Ovis aries: one gene and its partners. The protein of the gene in region 1 interacts with the protein of each later gene in a biochemical or structural test. Links are inferred from orthologs where the notes say so. Each region holds a gene or a part of one and is shown on either strand. Other genes may lie near its edges.

Region 1 (3,529 bases):
CTGTAAGGCAGCTTACAGTCTACATTTGTTGCTTAAGAGAGATGTTAGAGCCAAAACTAAAGATTAGGAATACTGAACACATGGATTTGGTTAAAGTTGCCTAGGGTGGATTTCTAGTAAGAGAACTAAAGACAGAACTCTAAGGAAAACAAAATTTAAAGGATAGGATGAAGTAAAGGTGGGAAAGGGCTGAAAGTGAGCAGTTAAAATGGTACGAAGGTCAGAGCAATGTGGTGTCATCAGAGCCAAGGAAGGAGTTTTCAGGATGAGTAGGTGTCAAGAGTGGCTAAAGGGGATGAGCACTCAAAACACCATTCCTATGTTGAACAACTGGGATCATTTATACAATATAAGGCTTCCCTGGTTGCTCAGCGGTAAAGAATCTGCCTGCCAATGCAAGAGACACAGGTTCAATCCCTGGGTCGGGAAGATCCCCTGGAGAAGGAAATGGCAAGCCACCCCAGTATTCTTACCTGGGAAATCTCATAGACAGAGGAGCCTGGCAGGCTACAGTCCATGGGGTCACAAGAGAGTCGGACATGACTTAGCAACTAAACAACAACAATACGATATAATGGTCAGGTCCCAAACTGAGAAGATGGGAGAGAGAATGAAAAGTCAAGGCCTGGGAGGAAGCAGCATGGAGAGATGGTTTTTAAACTTGCAGTGGGGGTGGGAAGAATAAGGAAACGTGAAAGATGAGCACACGTACAAGCTCCAAAGGGGCTAGGATCATGAGAACTGCTGAGAGAGGTGGTTCAGTATCATCAAGAGCACGAGTTGTGGGGGACTTCCCCAGCAGCCCACTGGTTAAGACTCTGCCTTGCAATGCAGGGAGCATGGGTTCAGTGCCCGGTCTGGGAGCTAAGCTCCCACATGCTGCAGGGTGCGGCCAAAAATGTTTAAACAGAAAGAAAACAAAAAACAAAGCACAGCACAAACTTCGGAATCAGCCAGACTGCCTGAGGTCACATCTTTGCTGGACCACTCACCAACATCCTCTCTGGACCACTTACCAACTGCTGGTCTTAGGCACTTCTCCTAACCATTATGTGCCTCACTTTCCTCGTCTGTAAATTGGGGATGACAGCACTTTGGAGCACCTGCCATGAGTAAGGCTATTTGCTCAGCTGGGGGATGTTACATGTGTCCCTGCTCCCTGCCATCCAGGGCCTTACAGTTTAGTAGCAGAAAATACGTAAGCTTATGCCCCTCTTATAGTGTGCTCAGGGCTGGGATAGACTCTCTGTACAGAGTGCTCATTTAAGCACTTTCGAGACTCTTCTCAACCTGTTTTATCTGAAATGTTACTCTGGGTTTTGGGAATTATAACAATAATTCACCATGGTGCTTCTTGCCATTTCAGGTTAACCATGTCCGAACAAGAGACTTTGACTGCTGCCTTGTTGTACCCCTCATAGCGGAATCTGGTAATAAGCTGGACCTGGTGATTAGTAGAAACCCCCTGGCTTCACAGAAGTCCTTAGAACACACTCTACCAGGAGGAGAATGGAGCGAGCAGAACAGTGCTTTTTTCCAGCAGCCGAGCCACGGTGGTAATTTGGAGATACGAGAACCCACTAATACACTATAGCAACGCTTTTTATAAAGCGGGACAAAAGACGATATCTACATGGTGCTAAAAAAAAAAAAAAAATCCCATTAAGATTTCTGTGACATCTGAAGCACAGATAATCACGTGGCATTAACTGCAAGCACAGGGGTCTTTTAAATCTCTCATGGCTCATGTTCACTTCCCTTTTCAAGTTGAAGAGGTTTCTTTGTTGGTGATCATTATGGTATATGCCAGGCAATCCCCTGCCAAACCCAATGGTAGAGAAAAAGAAAAACAGGCCACCCCTCTCTACAGTTAACATCAGAGGACATTTGTTCACAAGTCCATCTTCCTGTTCCTTTTTAAAAAGAGAAATGTCTGTTTGAAAATATTCTCTAATTTCCTTAATTCACTTTGAAATCAGTTTCTTACTACAAAGTTATTCATGTAAGAATTTAACTGACAAGGCTTTTCATAAAGCTGGCTCTGCTAGAACTAGTCTGGTGAGCTGCTGGGACTGCTGCTATGGGAGGGGTACAGGTATAAAATTATCTTACGACGTTTCAGCAACGGTGCACGTAGGAGACCATAATAGGTGGTGGTACATGTTTTGCCCAAGTATAGGAATGATTTTAACTAAGATGTATGCTATTCCCTATGCAACAAATCATCAAACAGGATATGTCTTGTGACCTGTTTTTTGGGTTGTTTTTTTTTTTTAAGGACACATTTTTTAATAGCTGAAAACTCTCTGGTAATGAATTAGGGTGTTTAGTAACACTGAGAATTAGTTAAATTATCTTATTTTTAAAATTCAAGACTAAGAATTTAAGAGAGAATGAAGAGTCTATTAAAATGAGGTTTATCTTAAGGATAGGCAAATGAAACTCATACTGCTTGACATGTTTTGAAAACTGGTTATACTGAGGGGTGTACAGCACATGTACGTAAATGACTCTGGACTGTCTTTTGTTCTGAGCCATGCCACTGATTGAAATTGTAAATACATTTTCACAAAATGCATTGCCAATTATTACCATCCCCCAAAGCAATAAACTGTGACAGTTGCTTTTAATGTCTGTCAGCAACTGTTTTCATTTGTTCAGATATTTTGAATAGTTACACTAATAACTGTTATTTGGTGAATATTAAAAAAAAATAGATCTGTATATTGATTGTAGAATCTCCATACTGAAAAATTATTTTCCAAACATTTTTATTTTGGTCAATAATTAAAACAACTGCTTAAGTAAAGCATCTGAACACTGTGTCCTTTGTTTAAGGAAAAAGTTCACCTTTTGTTTCTGTGCAAAGAAATATATTATTTCAATCATATTTCAGAACCGCCAGGGCAAGAAAGTATAAAGCAGAATCATGTTAAGAAAAAGATCATGAGTCACTTAAATATGTATTTTTATTTGTAACAAACAAGTATTAAACTGTAAAGTATTTTTGTACAAATTTAATACTTTAATAGCATGGTATTTATCGTCTATGTATGGTTTTGGGGAATTCAAAACTGTTGCAAATATTTGTATGGGAATAAAAAAAACCCTCTACCAAATGGAATAAACAGTGATTTTAAAAAGCCAAAAAAAAAAAAAAAATGACCTTCTTTTTTGGTGCTTTGGATATATTTTAGTGTTCTATACTGAGTCCTACTCAACACTAATGATTGCATAATTTTCTAAAGGAGGAAGGTTTTGCCATAAACTTGAAAAGCATCATGGAAGAGAAGAACTATGGTTTTGATATTTGATCTGGGTTTGAATTCCAGCTCTGATACTCACTGGGAGTATGAAACTTACTTTCTTGAGTCAGTCTTCCCTCCTGTGATACTGAGGGTCATATATACATTCCAACACTTTCATGAGGAGAAGTGGGACACATATGTAAAAATGCTGAAACAGCTGGCAAACAGGTAACACCTCTAAGACTAATGATACATTTACACTAGGTAACAAAGCTTGATCT
Region 2 (3,722 bases), on another chromosome or scaffold:
GGGCAGCAGGGCAGGCTGGTGAGGGGCCAGCTGGCATCCAGAGTGAGAGGTAGATGGAACTCAGCGGGCACGAGTGGCAGAGAGCAGAGGGAGTACTGGGGCGGGGGGGTGCCAAAGGGCACAGAGGGAGGGGCAAGGCAAGGGGGCGTGGCCAGGACCCTGCTGTATTAGCTCACAGCTCTGATGGCAGCCCTACCCTTGGGGACCTGATGTGGGGGGGGGCAGTTCTCTCTGATTTGGGGGGAGGAGGGGCAGCTCTCAAAGTGCTCGGGGGTGGGAGGGGGGGTCCTCCCCTCTGGCCAGCCTCAGTTAATAACTTAATATCATCTCTCTATCAGTCGCTCGCTCTTTTTTCCTCTGTCTAGTATTTCTTCATTTATCTTCTCCCCTTGCCTGGTTTCCAAAGTGCAGTTAGAATGACTGTAATTTTTAACCTCCAGGGGAGGAGCCAAGCCAAGCCTTTCTTTGCACCAGGCATCTGGGGAAGCAGAGAGGCCCTCAGCCTGGAGGGGGGACCTAGGCCAAGAGACTGGGCAAGGGGGCTCTCTCGTGTGTGTGTGTGTGTGTGTGTGTGTGTGTGTGTGTGTGTGTGTGTGTAGGGGGTGAGTGAGGGCCTTTGCCCCCACCCCACATTCCTCTATCCCCTACGGTCAAGATGGCTTGTCCGCTCTTAGTTCTCCCTCCCTTCTCCTACCTTCTCAGAGGACAGGGTCCTGGGAACTGCAGGACACGGTCCCCCCGCCCGCCTCCCACACTGTCCTTTTCATAGCAAGTTCATTTGTTTGCCCTGTCCCAGGGCTGGAGGTTCTGAGGAGGGACAGGGCAGTGTGGGGGTGTGTGTGGGGAGCTGAATCTATCCAAGGATGAGAGGGAGGAGAGAAGAGGTGTGGGGGTCTCCCTCAGCCCCCAGCTCTGCCCCTTCTCTCCAGGCTCCTCCCCACCAGCTCCGCACACCCTCTGGCCGCCTGAGGCTTTAGACTTCCTGATCCTCAAAGACCTCGAGGAAGAGTGGGGGGAAGAGTTCGGTGGGGCACTCGACTTTCATGTGGAGGAAGCGGCTGGCGTGGCAGGCCCCGATCATGCGGAGGTCAGTCACCTTCATCAGCAGCTTGGGCCAGAAGTGCGGAATGTTGTGTTTGCGGTGGTTGACGTAGTGCTCGAACGCCAGCAGGTACGCCTCCTGACTCTTCTCAATCTTGTCCACACACAGCAGGCCCGAGCGGTCTGCAGGGAAGGAGGGGCACGAGGCTAAGAGGGTGCAGGGGGGCAGAGGCCGAGAGGCTGGGGGAGAATGGAGAAAAACATGCATTCTGCGGGGGCAGGGAGCAAGTCGGGGGCAAGCACAGGGCAAAGCCGGTGGAGGGGCTGGTAAAGCAGACAGAGGAGTCAGAGGTGGGCCTGGGAAGGGAGGAGACTAGGAGATGAGGCAGGCCTAGGGGGTGGAGAGGTGGGGTGGGCAGAGGAGTAGGAGGAGGTTGGGGGCAGGGACAGGGGTACTGAGAACAGAGGAGGGAGGGGAAGAGAAGGTGGATGGGAACAGAGTCAAGGGTGGGGAACAAAGGGGACTATGAGAGACAGAGAGCAGATGTGGGGCAGAGGTGAAAAATGAAGCCAGGATAGAAGAGGGCGTGGGAAGCTAGAGATGGGCCTGGAGAGAACAGAGGGGGGATGGGTGACAGAGTAGGGGACAGTGGACAGAGGATGGGCCTGAGGACAGGGATAAGCTTGGGGGACAGAGAGGTGGGCTTGGGGAGCAGAGAGACTGAGGGGTTAAAGAAGGACAAGCCTGGGGCCCAGCCAAGGTCTTGGGCCCTGGAAGCTCCGGAGCCCACCCAGCCAGGCTAGGTACCTGTTGACATTAGCAGCACAGCCTGCAGCAGAGCCACTTCCGTGTCATCCAGGTTAAAGGCAGAGAGTGACTTGCCCAGTTCAAAGATGGCGTCAGAGACGACACCCAGGCCACCATTCTTGAGCTGCTCCCGCTTGACGGCCATCTCCCCGCTCAGCGTCAGGGTGTCGCTCTCGGGGTCATAGCGGACAGCTGCCCGCAGGGACATGATCTCCATGCAGCACCCCTTCAGGAGGATGATCTGGTCTTCGCAAGGCAGCTGCAGAGTCACAGGAACACTCAGCATGACCCTCCCCATGAGTGTCCCCTGAAGGCGCCCCTGGGAACTGCGAGGCCACCACCAACCGGGAACACATACTCTGGACAGCTACCCTTGCACTGGGTGGCAGACCTACCTTGCTTCACTAACCCTCACAACTAGGTCTCTGAGTTAGGTCCTGTCATTACCTCCATGCCCACTGCAGATGAGCAAAGGGAGGTTTAGGGAGTTAGGCCATGTAGCCAAGCTCTCAAGCCAGTAGGGCAGCCTGTCCACAGAGTTAGAGCTCTTTAAAATAAGAATCTCCAGAGTCAGGATGGTCACGTAGACTTGCGGGGAGATGGGCAGGGGGAGGCTGGGGGTGCAGGGCTGGGCCCATGGAGCCTGTTAGTTCTTAGGAATCAGCTCACCCTGTGCATGCGTGTGTGCGTGCATGGGTGTGTGTTGGGTGTGTTGACCCATAGGAATTGCTCCCTGTCCAGAGAGCTTCAGAGAAGGATGAGCTGGGACTGGGGGACCCGGGGAGCAGCCCAAGGCTTCCCTCCAGTGTGACACCAGGTCTCTCCTCCCATCCATCACTCACCTCGGAGAACATGGGCAGTTTTTTGGCAAAGTCCACCACGCGGGTGATGGCCGGGGTGATGATCTTGGTAAACTCGCTGAAGGCCTCAAGGTCCACCTTGTCTCCGTCTGGCATGGAGACGATAGGTGACTGGCCGATGTCGTCCGGCTAGAGGGAGAGATGGGGGTCAGTTGGGGCTGCAGACCCCTTTCAACCACTCACTGAGGCTCCCTGCCCACCAGGGGGAGCTCCAAGGCAGCTTGGGGAAACGGGGGCCACCGCACCTAGGGACTCTGTGTCCCAGGCCTAGGGCTTCTCCCACCTCGCCACAGAGAACAAACTAGCACCAGAGCTCCAAGATGGCTAATAAGAACAAGGATCGTAACACCAGTAGCGGCAATGCCATAACAACAGAAGCTACATTTGACTAATATGTAGCTAGGAATTAGGCCATGTGTTTTACACATATTATCTCATTTAATCCTCACCATGACTTATCACCACTAGTTGATGTTATACTTATCACCATTTCACAGATGAGGAAACAGATAGAGTGCAGCTAAGTAATAAGCCCAGGTCGAGAGCCTAGTAAGCGGTGGAAACAGGATCTGAACCATTACACACACATGTGCTCGCTTTCAGAGCTGGTGCTCCTTCCAGTGTACTGTTTCACCCGCTGACACACTCCAGCCATCAGGAGTTCTCTGCCTTCCCCCGCCATACACAACCAACTGTCCATCTCCTCCCACGCTGACCATTTCCTTGGCATTCAGCTTTGCCAAGGCCCAAAACAACATGTGGCACCCAGGAGGCTCCTCAAGATACTGTCCCATGACTGTGTCCTTGCCCCTGCCTCCCAGTCACTGTGGAAAAAGGGGGAGAGATCCTCCCCACTTCACTGGAAATTTGATGAGGCAAGGCCCTGCCCTCATCAAATCAGATGGAAAAGGCAGTAACACATACACAGGTGTACAAATCAGAACTGCCAAGCTGTGCAGACTAGCAGCTTTGGGGTGGACTAATCTAAGAAGGCTTCCTGGAGGAGGCGAGAC
Region 3 (2,807 bases), on another chromosome or scaffold:
GGCGCACCCACCCCCGTGGGCTCACCTAGAGGAATCAGGTTGTTGTGGCCCACACTGGAGCCTCCGGCAATAACACTGCTCAGGTCGTAGGCGGTCGGCATTCCTGCACCGGGGAAGGAGAGGTCAGGGCAGGAGGGCTCGACGGGCCAGCACTGGCGGGGGCACCAGGGAAGGACCCTGCCCCCACCCCCACCCCACGCACAAGTGGGCTGCTCACCGGCCACAGCCATCCCACTGCTGAGGTTGTAGGTGCTGCCGGCATTCCACATGTTCTCCGAGGGGGAAGTGTAGTGGGAGCCAGGCGGCGGGGAGGGTGTCGTGCCTGTGTATCTGCGGCAGAGACGGCCCGTGGGCAGGGCGAGGGGCAGCGGGTGAGGAGGGCGCCCCCCGCAGGCCCAGGGCCCGTCCTACCTGAAGAATGGGTTTTTCAGGTCCAGGAGGTTGCTGGACTTGGAGCCTGTCTGGTCCACCTGGGCCACAATACTGATGTCGTAGCTCTGTCTGTGGGGCAGGAGGGTGGCCGTGAGCTGGCTGCCTGGAGGGAGCGAGCCCCTGCTGCCCCCGCCCCTGGGGCTGCTCGCACCTTTTGTTGGCAATAAGCAGACATGTCCCTGAGAGCGTGTCCCCAGCCTTGGCGAACAGTGGCGACTGGAACAGGCACCGGACTTGGTACCAGTGGGTCAGGGGCTCCGTCGGGGCCGTGGACAGCCACACGGTCATTCTGCCAAGCAGGGACAGGCATGCCCTTGACTGGGCTAGACCCCCACCTTGTGCCTTTTGAGCTCTCCTCAGGCACCTACCCCCCACCCCCGGCCCCCACCACCCAGGGGTCCCCTGGAGCGGAGACAGGCTGGCTGTCCAGGAAGTTCTACCTACGCCCACTCGCCCGGATATACACGCCAAGAGACACAATCAGGTCCCGCGAGGAATAGTCACTTTGAACAGGGTAGACGACCCTACCCCCAATAGTCTATTGCTCGAAGGCCAGCTCCCACTGCCTTCTGCAAGGAGCAGTAGCACCCAGCGGAGTTGAGTCAGGCCCTCCCAGCCCCCAGTGCATCATCTGAGCCAGCCAGACCTGGAGTTACCACCTGGGGCTGGAGTGGGGGGGCCACCTGCTCTGCTTGGTTGCACTCACATAGAGCCGATGAAAGCGACATCAAACCAGAAAGCCAGACCGTGAACCAGCCCGGAATGCAGCATGTGGAACTTGAATGGGATTTCTATCCTGTAAGGCAAAGGCAGTGATTGCTGGGGAAGCTGAACCAGGGCTTCTGGGAGAGGAGGGGGATGTGGGGGTGTTGGGTGTGGGGCCCCGGCCCGCCCAGCCTGGGAGGCAAGGTTCTGTCCAAGGGAGCTGGCAGTGGCCCTGATCTCCAGAAGTTAAGCCCAGGAGGTCGGGGTGCCAGGGGTGGAGGGCTGCTGGTACCTGTGCAAATCTCCTTCTTTGGCTTCTAAGAAGTTCACCGTGTACTTGACGGACTTGGCCATCAGGATCCGGATGTCAAATGTGTCCTGGGAGAGAGCAGAGAGTGACCTGGCTTCAGGCACAGGGGCTGTGAGGAGAAGGGGAAGCCCGCCCCTCTTCCAGAGTCTGGCTGCAGCCTCTAGGCCATTTGGCTCAAACCAGTTTGCAGTTTGCCCTTCTCAGCCATGCTTGGGGGAGGAGGAACTGGTCTAACACAATGGAGGGCGATTAGGTGACAGCTCTCAAAATGACAACTATTCATCTGCATGAAAGACTCGGCAGTTCCACTTCAGGGATTGTAACCTACAAACCTATGTGCACGTGTACAAAACTTCTACCCATAATTACAGACTGCCAAGAGCAGAAACACCCTGGAAGTTACACTAGTGATGGCCCAACAGTGAAAGATCATGCGTGTGAAAAAGGACAAAAAGGCTCTTTGGAATAGATGGGGAAAGATCTCCAAGATAAACTGTTATGCAACTTCACAAAAATCAAGTGAGAGAACTATGCTGACACCACTCACAGCTATGACAGAGATCTCATGTCAGACTGCCAAGAACTATATGAACTGAATAAAAAAGAAAACCAACAACAACAGTAGTCTGAAATCACTGGAGAGCAACCACAGCAGCCATGGCTTTGGGGCCAAGACCTTAGAGGAGAGGTGCTTTTCGACACGTGCCTTTCCCCTTGGGGTGGGGCCCTTCAGAGGCCTCCCTGTGTGGGGAAAGCCAGGTGGGAACTCGGGATTACTGAGGCAGCTAGGACTCAAGGGGCCAAGCTGCTAAATAAAAAGGAAATGTGGAGATTCGAGGTGGACACTGCACATGTGATTTTAGTTCTTGGCATTTGCCAGTTTTTGAGCTACATGTGGGATGGAGGTAGGGAACCAAGCAGAAAGATGCTTCTATGAGATTAAAAAGCTAAAGCAAAGGGACTTCTCCGCCGGTCCAGTGGTTTAGACTCCACATTTCCACTGCAGGGCTCACAGGTTCAATCCCTGGTCAGGGAACCAAGATCCCTCAGGCCATGCAACTCAGCCAAATAATTACATTAAATAAGCAGACTTCTTTAAAAAAAATACTAAAGATGGCTGACTGAACAAATGCATTTACTGCCCCATTAAAATAGAAATAAGATTTTTTTTAATGAAGCTATCTTTTTTTTAATATGATTTTTAATTTTTAATTGAAATATGGTTCAGCACCATATTGGAACTGGGAGGCTAGGACAGGGGCCCTGTGAACCACCAGACTCACTAAGACCATGAAGACTACCCTGAAGCAGCAGTTCTCAAAACACGGTCCCTTTCCAGAGCTCCCTCAAGGTCAAAACT

What was found. The genes of interacting proteins can lie anywhere in the genome.
Region 2: the proteins of GRIP1 (region 1) and THRA form a complex in vitro, tested with the Homo sapiens proteins (2 studies listed by BioGRID). The link is inferred for Ovis aries from reciprocal best matches to the Homo sapiens genes GRIP1 and THRA.
Region 3: the proteins of GRIP1 (region 1) and CARM1 form a complex in vitro, tested with the Homo sapiens proteins (2 studies listed by BioGRID). The link is inferred for Ovis aries from reciprocal best matches to the Homo sapiens genes GRIP1 and CARM1.

The regions. Positions count from the first base shown.
Region 1 is NC_056056.1:153,636,365-153,639,893, forward strand, and holds the end of GRIP1 (glutamate receptor-interacting protein 1), read left to right. Parts: intron 1-1,366; coding exon 1,367-1,594; 3' UTR 1,595-2,809; downstream 2,810-3,529. UniProt on the Homo sapiens protein: May play a role as a localized scaffold for the assembly of a multiprotein signaling complex and as mediator of the trafficking of its binding partners at specific subcellular location in neurons.
Region 2 is NC_056064.1:40,135,642-40,139,363, reverse strand, and holds the end of THRA (thyroid hormone receptor alpha), read right to left. Parts: intron 2,839-3,722; coding exon 2,692-2,838; intron 2,109-2,691; coding exon 1,850-2,108; intron 1,225-1,849; coding exon 974-1,224; 3' UTR 284-973; downstream 1-283.
Region 3 is NC_056058.1:13,195,281-13,198,087, reverse strand, and holds part of CARM1 (histone-arginine methyltransferase CARM1), read right to left. Parts: intron 1,516-2,807; coding exon 1,430-1,515; intron 1,229-1,429; coding exon 1,139-1,228; intron 722-1,138; coding exon 584-721; intron 502-583; coding exon 412-501; intron 331-411; coding exon 218-330; intron 104-217; coding exon 26-103; intron 1-25. UniProt on the Homo sapiens protein: Methylates (mono- and asymmetric dimethylation) the guanidino nitrogens of arginyl residues in several proteins involved in DNA packaging, transcription regulation, pre-mRNA splicing, and mRNA stability.